Linked DNA regions of Cricetulus griseus. The protein of the gene in region 1 purifies or fractionates together with the protein of each later gene. This does not show direct contact. Links are inferred from orthologs where the notes say so. Each region holds a gene or a part of one and is shown on either strand. Other genes may lie near its edges.

Region 1 (3,813 bases):
TATCTATGTTGATGTATCAACTTTTTTTTTTTAATTGGGAGTAGTACTTCATTATATGAATATACTGTATTTAATTTTTTTAATTTATCCACCGCCCCCACCCCGTGTACACATGCCGCTGTGTCTGTCTGTCTGTGTGTGTTTATAGAAGTTAGAGGACAACTCTGTAGAACTGACTCTCCTTCCACCTTTATTTACCTGGGTCTGGGGATTGAACTTAGGTTAGTAGACTTGAATGGCAAATGCTTTTACCTGCAGAGCCTCTCTCAGCCCTTGTACTTTAAAATAATGAAAAGCTAGGATTACAGATGCACACACTACCACATCTTGTCTTTATGTAGCTTTGGGCAGTTCATACTCAGGTCCTTATTACATGGCCAGCATTGTACCTACCCACTTAGCCAAGGTCTCCCCAACCCACTTGTGGTGGTTCTTTCTCCCAAGATGGGCCCATCTCTATTGCCCAGGCTGTTCTACCTTCCTGCCTCAGCCACCTGAGTAGCTGGGATTACATGCATTCACTGTTGACTATCATGCTCAGATCTGAGGTTCTCTCTCTCTCTCTCTCTCTCTCTCTCTCTCTCTCTCTCTCTCTCTCTCTCTCTTTCTCTCGTCAGTTTTCTACTGCAAGCTGCTGGGCCTTCGACTGGCATTGTGAGGAATTGATAGACAGGCTCCTTGTAATTGACGCGCACCTCACTGTTGCTCTCATGGATTTGTTAGGCCCTGCTTTGATTGTTTTTGTTCCATTTGGGCATTCACTTTGGCTGTCTTCCAGAGTTGGTTTATCCCTCAGATGCATGGTGTGTCTGTTGTTGTCCCTGCCTTTCCTCTTCACAAGTTCTTTCTACTGGCATCCTTTATGTCTTGTGTTTGTTCTTTGCTTCTGAGTTGAGAATTTGGTTCTGGTACCTGGCCCTCAGCCTGCCTGCCCTTCTGGGCCGCTCAGAGCTGTGTGCTGTCTGCTAATCCTTTCTTCCTCAAGTCTTCACCGTAGAGCTCACCTGTTGGCAGCTGGATGTGTTTGTTTTCCTGAATGTGTTCTGAGCTTTGTTCTAGGATGTAGTGGCTTGGAAATGGATTAATCCTTTCATGGTCTGTCTTTACACTTGGCTCTGCTGTGCTAGAGCAGCGTGTAATCCAGGCTGATTCTGCCAGGCCCCAGACATGCTCTCCCCAAGCCTGTGAGTCTGGCTAGCGGGAACAGGCTTGTTTTCAGACTGTGGCAGGGATATTGTTCCTGCTCTGCCATATGGTCCTTTCCCCTGGCTTCCCCAGCCCTACACTGACCATCCTCAGTAAAGATTCACTCTGGGCCTGAGCTCTGGCTGCCCTTACGTCCCTGTCAATAGACACCTTCTTCCACAGGTCCTGCCATCAAGCTCCATCTGAAGGGGTGAAGGATGTTGCAGGATTCTCCTCATCCTGTCATTTTACTTGGCATTACAGACTTGAAAACTGATGCTTATTATTTTATCATATTTAACATTGTTTGTGTGTATGTGTGTGGACACATACCACATTCATGCCCTGCACATACCATAATACACATATGGAAGTCATAGGACAACTTGGGGAGTCAGTTCTCTCCTGCCACGTGAGTCTTGAGTTTTAGTACAAAGGTTGTCAGGCTTGACGTCACACGCTTTTACCTGCGGAGCCATCTCACCAGCCATGTTGCATCAGACTATTCCTGTGCTTTCCAGTTCTTTTCCTACACAGGAAGTGGAACCTGTCCTTGTGACTGTGTGTCTTCTCAGTTGGAGGTAGATGTCTCCATCAGTGTGTTTGAAAAGCTGTCCAGGGCTGCTCCTGTGCCCTAGGCTGGTAGCTTGGGTGGAGGAAGAGAGTTGGGGCCCAGGTTGGCAGGCCTGGGCTTGAAGATTGTATCACGCTGCTTAGCCATCACACTTTGGGGAAAAGTTCTGAGAAGTCCTTGCCCCAACTCCCAAGTTTATGGGTGTGTCCTAAGCAGCCACAGGTGCTGGACTCTTCAGTACAGTCCCAGAGCCCTGAGTTGGGGGCCAGTTTGGTGTCTGGTTCCCTTTGTGTGTCTTATGGTGGACAGGTAGCATGGGTCAAGTTCTGTGCAGGTAGCAATGTGTTACTTGATCCTTCCCTAGGATCAGGGTGAAAGCAAACAGACAGAAATCACAAATCTGAGCTGCTTTGATTTGTGTAGAATGGATGCTCTGTTAGAGGACTGAGAGCACATGGGCAAGGCCTGGCTACCTTGTGAGGGAATCCAGTCCCCTGCAGGAGTGTTACACTGTGATCCCCAAGTTGCCCTCTGATACATTCCCTGGGTCTACTGGGCTGTGCATCCTCTGGCCCCTTGGGAGGCCTTCTCACAGTGTCTGGGACACGGCCTATGCCTCAGTCTAGACCCTGCTCCATTCTGCCAGTTCCCTATCAGGATGAAAATTGCTTTCTGCATTTTCATGTGTTAGTGTTAGAAACTGCTTCAGCTCAGTAGCATCCCTGTACAATGTAGCTTTGTATGTTTTGCTTATTGTTTTCTTGGACTGAGTTCCCAGACCTATGAAGTCATAAATGAAAGAAAATAGTCCTGTTCTCTTTTAAATCTAGTGAAAACCATCATATTCTTGTTCTTTAGTAACTCTTCTCTTACTATTGTTTCTTACCATGAGCTATGACTCCTATAAAGAGTCAGGCAAGGAAGGCCAAGGAGATAGCTCAGCCTCTCAGTGGGGTATGTAATGGAGGCCAGGCTGGCCAGGGCCCAGTGTGTGACTGGCACGGTGTTGTGGGTGAGGCCAGTACTTGTTGCTCTCACTTTGTAGGTTTTCTTCCTGAGTCCTAGAGTCCCACACCTTGCTCCTCACCCCAGTGTCTGAAGCATGCAGATACATGCATCTCTGTGCCTATGTACCCTGAGATGGCTACTCTAGCTAGTTGTTACTGTGCCCTGTCCTTAGGGCTGGGGGCCCAGCCCTGGTTTGTCCCAGACCAAATGAAGGATGATTTGACATCAGGTAGCAGGATGGAGTGGCTCCTCACCCCTTGCATGTAATGGCTAGCACAATTTTGTAAGCCTGGAATGTATGTTGGGTGTGCTGCTCTAGGGTTGTTTCCCATTAGCTTGGCCAAGCTCACAGTATAGACCATTTGCTTCCTGGTCCTGGGAACTTTCCAACTGGCACACATCATCAGGCCTCAAACTTTGTCCCTTACAAAGGAAATTCCACCTATGTCTGTGACCCTATACTCTTAGTGTTCCTTCCTGTCACTCCACATGATGCTCCTAAGACTAGTTTGGTTTCACTCAATGTAATGAAACGTGAAGCGTGCCTGCTACACACATCTCAATGTGTGTTTTAACATGTGCACAGCATGGAACTGCTTCACAGGTCTATGTTCCTGTGGTCTTAGGCCTCCATTGCTTTGTGGCCCAGGGACACCCATCTCATGAAGGTCTTTTCTGTGCACACAGGCATTTGGACAAGCACACACAAACCACAAAAAGGTGGCTGCTGATGGTGAGAGCCGGGAGGAGAGCCTGATCCAGGAGTCAGCCTCCAAAGAGCAGTACTATGTGAGGAAGGTGCTGGAGCTGCAGACAGAGCTGAAGCAGCTTCGCAATGTCCTCACCAACACTCAGTCTGAGAACGAGCGCCTCACATCCGTGGCCCAAGAGCTAAAAGAGGTAAGTGCATGGACATGGCCTCTTGTCATTGTGCCAGTGGGCTGTTTGGCCGCTTCAGCTTCATTGAGGCTGCATCTTGCTCCTGTGGTTTCTCAGACCTGAACATACAAACAGTTCTGTGTCTGAACTGTGACCATCTCACTGGT
Region 2 (4,360 bases), on another chromosome or scaffold:
GCACCACTATGCTTGCCTTTGTCTCTGCCCTTAGACCTTTGTTATTTATTTGTTGGTTGATTTGTTTTGGTGTGCGGTACTTTGACCTTAAACTTCAGGGCTTGGGTATATGTAGTAGATCACAGTACATGAAAACTTGGCTTTAAGTTCTACTCTTTAAGTTCTAGAAAGCTTTCAATTCTATGGGTTTCATACTTACTTGCTTCCGGGAAGAAAGATGAAAGAAAATATTATCATTGGTAACTGATAACAGTCTTCTCCAAGCCTCTTGTATTTGAAAATGCTTCTGGTCCTATTATCATGAACATTGTCATGGCAACACTAAAGTTAAACAAACTTCAGAGCTGGAAAGATAGCTTAGCAGTTAGCACACTTGCTGATATTGCAGAGGACTCAGGTTCAAGTCTCAGCACCCACACAGCTCACAACCACCTGGAACTCCAGTTCCAAGAAATCTAACACCCTCGATTGGCCTCTGCAGATTCAAAAATGCATGTGGTACACATATGTACATGGAGGCAAAACAATCATACACATGAAATGAGTATTTTATAAAAAGATAAATAAAATTGACCCCTATGTGGATAAATTTTCCTAAGAGGTCAACACAAGGGTAACTCCTATTTCTTGTGTATATATCAACACCCTTTATGTGAAAGAGGTCAGTGCCAAAATAAAGAATATTGCATTCAGTATGCAATGAAAGTTCATAGAAATAGTGTTGTTTAGGAGATGAAATTAAGTGTGACAGTGGGAGGAGTTTACAGAAAAAATTAGCATTTCAGGATGCATATCCTATCAGGCAAAATGAAGTTTCGCTAAGCTCCATGTTTATCCAGTCCGCAGACACCTGAGCTGGGCACACTCTAGGGCTCCTGACAGGCCATTTTCTTTGTGCAGTTTGGAGATATATTGCTCCGTTAGCATCCAAACCTGAAGTCATCATGCTGATTCCTTTTTGATCTTCACTGACTCCTTTGTTTATCTGTGAAGAAACTTGTGCAGAAAGCGTGTTGCTCCCCTGGAAGTGCAGTGCTGTTCTTTTTCAACCCTGATGACAACATCAAATTTCTTCAGCATTTACGGATACATAATAGAAAAGGAATCACAGAGTGAGACCAAACCTAAGCTCTTTCTCTTCCTCAACACAGACCAAATAATACAGCCTATTATTACCCCTAGTCACATTTGCAAGCTGCATTTCCTTTTAAATTATTTTGCAATGACAGCAAAAAAAGATTACTTAGAGAGTGTCACTTTCTCTCCCTCCTTTTCTCCAAGGAAGCAACAATGTCTGACAAGAGCGACCTCAAAGCAGAGCTGGAGCGCAAAAAGCAGCGCTTGGCCCAGATAAGAGAGGAGAAGAAACGGAAGGAGGAAGAGAGGAAAAGGAAAGAGGTGAGGCTCGATTGGGGTGTTGTGGGGTCAAAGGGTCACTGGGATTCAAGGAATCAGTTAGGTGGACAAATAGGACCCTCGAGAGAAATCTGAATCAAGTGTGTGAACGTGCATCCACACACTCTGAAGGGAGAGGTCATCTCTCCTTGATAAGTGATGACAGGTGTCACGTGAGCAATGGCTCATAAATGGCTCAAAAGTCTACAAGCCGGGTTACCCTGGACTTGAAAGAACCCTGAGGGTGGTCCATGATCTCTTTGTCATTAGATATTCTTTATTCTTTATGGGCTGTTTTCTATTTTGGGAACAACGATTGGTTTTACTTCATGGAACTGCTAAGATTAGGATGGGCTCCCCTCCCACTGCCTGAAACTTAGGATATAGTTCATACCTGTGTTAGTGTTGAGAAAGAAAGAAAAAACAAAAGTCTTATTTATTTAATTTTGTATAAACCTAACAGTATGAACATTCTAGAAGACAAAGTGGATCCAATGTCAGTGGATTTCCAGTGATTCCTACACAGTGTGCATTTCCCATGGCCAATAAGAATCCTCAGCTTGGTTAAGAAGGAACCATTAGGAGGGTGGGTGAGTAAGATAGAGTACAGTGTTAGGCGTTTCAGCAGAAGGAGGCGTTCTACTGTCACTAAAAGTTTTCTTCTTTATATCACCAAATAGCAAGGACCCAGGGGCAAGACAGCTTTTCTCTTGGTAAACTCAAGTCAAAGACTCCTGAGCCCAAATTCAAAGCCTGTCATATGTCTTCTACCATCTCAGTCTGAGAAGTGGTGCATTTTTTACTCTCCAATTTGTTGTGACGGTGTAGAAACTGCCCAACTGATGCACAGAAACCAGATGGCAGATACTTGTGAATAGTTTTCTAGACAGGAAACTTTGAACAGGGTGATATGCCCACCCAGAGAGAAACTGGGACTGCTCCCCACACAGAGACTGTTTTTTGCAGGAAGAAGAAAGTGCTTTGATGCCTCGTAGTCTAAATAAATACTGTTTCATTCTACAAGTTTAAGAGTAAAATAACAGATTTACAATGTTTATCATTTCCCAATAATTGCAGTTGCAGTTTAGCCTTATGGCTTCCCCCATCTCTTTGGGCTGCACATGATGACTGATGTGATAGTGTGTGTGTCCTTGATATCCTACACAATGATTTCCCTGGGAGATCTTTGCTACTCTGTATGCAGGTTGTAGCTGAAACCGAGGTGAGAACTGACAAGGAATGGCTACTCATTTCCGTGGGGAGGAAAAGGCATTGTGTGATTGTGTTTCCCTTCTTTCAAATGTCAACAGCTACTGTATCTTTAAAGTGCCTGCTATTCCTTGCTAATAATGGGTTTTCTTTTACACTGACATTCTAATATCCAACTTGAATTTCACAGAATTACTATGAAGTGTGATGTGATATAGGAAATCTCGCTCCAAATTAGGCTGTCCGCTCTTTTTTATTTTGCCTTGGGAGAATCATGGGCCAACCAATCAAATTGAAGCTGTTTTTCCTTCCTTTCTCTCTCTGGCTCTCTTTCTTTCTTTCTTTCTTTTTTTTCTGGTATACCAGGCAGTTTTGAGGAGTAAAGGTCTCACCCCCTGCATAGCAAACAGAGCTTCCAGGGGCTTCTTTCTGCATGTTTCAGGCCTCCACAAGCCTCTGAAATTCAAATTACAAAAGGACTCACTGTCTCCATTTCTTTCTTTTTTTTTTTTTTGATTTTTTGAGACAGGATTTCTCTGTGTAGCTTTGGAGCCTATCCTGGCACTCGCTCTGGAGACTAGGCAGCCTCGAACTCACAGAGATCCTCCTGCCTCTGCCTCCCGAGTGGTGGGATTAAAGGCGTGTGCCACCAATGCCCGGCTCCATTTCTTTTTTAATTAATTTTATTTAAATTAAAACTATCTTATTTTACATGCCAATCTCAGTTCCCTCTCCCTCCCATCCTCCCCTTCCCCCCAAAAACCCTCCATCCACTCCACAGGGAGGGTGAGACCTCCCATGGGGGATCATCAAAGTCTTTCACATCATTTGGGGCAGGACTAGGCCCTCCCCCGTGTATCTAAGCTGAGAGAGTGTTCCTCCATAGGGAATGGGGTCCCAAAGCCCATTTGTGCACTAGGGATAAATAATGGTTCCACTGCCAGAGGCCCCATAGACTGCCCAGGCCTCCTAACTGACACCCACATTCGGGGTGCTTGTTTTGGGTCCATGAGCTCCTGCTTGTTCAGGTCAGCTGTCTCTGTGGGTTTCCCCAGCATGGTCTTGGCCCATTTGCTCATCACTCCTCTCTGCAACTGGATTCCAGGAGTTCTCAGTACTTGGCTGTGAATCTCTGCTTCTGCTTCCATCAGCTACTAGATAAAAGCTCTATGATGACATTTAAGGCAGTCATCAATCAATCTCATTATAGGGGAAGGGCATCCATTTCCTAACTGACAGGGCCGCTCGAAGTCACCAGGGCAACTCATAGTCCTACACTTCCATTCAGAAGATTCAAACCACGGCTCAACTTTGGGATGCACTGGCTGTATTGTATTAAGTTCTGCTCTGGCTTTAAATGTCTCTGCACAATCTGGTATCCCTTGAGAAGCTCTTTCCATTGTGTCATTTAACCATCTCTAAAACAAACAAGCAAAAACCACTTGTCTGTTGATGTGGTGGGTGAATGAGAGCGGGGCATTTGTGTGCTATAGCAAACGGGTGCAGCCCATTCACTCCTTCTCCTATGTGGGTCCCAGTGATTGGACTTAAGATAATCAGGCTACTTATAGAAGTGTTATTTAATATTTAAGGCTTACATCTCCAGAGAGATAAGAACCCATCACTATCATGGTGGGGGTGCTGACTAAGGGGGAGCATGGCAACAGGAAACACTGAGTGCTCACAGGCTCATACTTCAAACAGAGAGAGTAAACTTGGGATGGGGAAGGCATTTGAAACCTCAAAGCTGGCCTCC

The links.
Region 2: the proteins of Bicd2 (region 1) and Dync1i1 purify together in Homo sapiens (affinity purification with western blotting; 4 studies listed by BioGRID and IntAct, with this or other methods). This does not show direct contact. The link is inferred for Cricetulus griseus from reciprocal best matches to the Homo sapiens genes BICD2 and DYNC1I1.

What each region holds. Positions count from the first base shown.
Region 1 is NC_048596.1:269,172,686-269,176,498, forward strand, and holds part of Bicd2 (protein bicaudal D homolog 2), read left to right. Parts: intron 1-3,454; coding exon 3,455-3,667; intron 3,668-3,813. UniProt on the Homo sapiens protein: Acts as an adapter protein linking the dynein motor complex to various cargos and converts dynein from a non-processive to a highly processive motor in the presence of dynactin.
Region 2 is NW_023276806.1:219,166,739-219,171,098, reverse strand, and holds the start of Dync1i1 (cytoplasmic dynein 1 intermediate chain 1), read left to right. Parts: upstream 1-1,290; coding exon 1,291-1,398; intron 1,399-4,360. UniProt on the Homo sapiens protein: Acts as one of several non-catalytic accessory components of the cytoplasmic dynein 1 complex that are thought to be involved in linking dynein to cargos and to adapter proteins that regulate dynein function.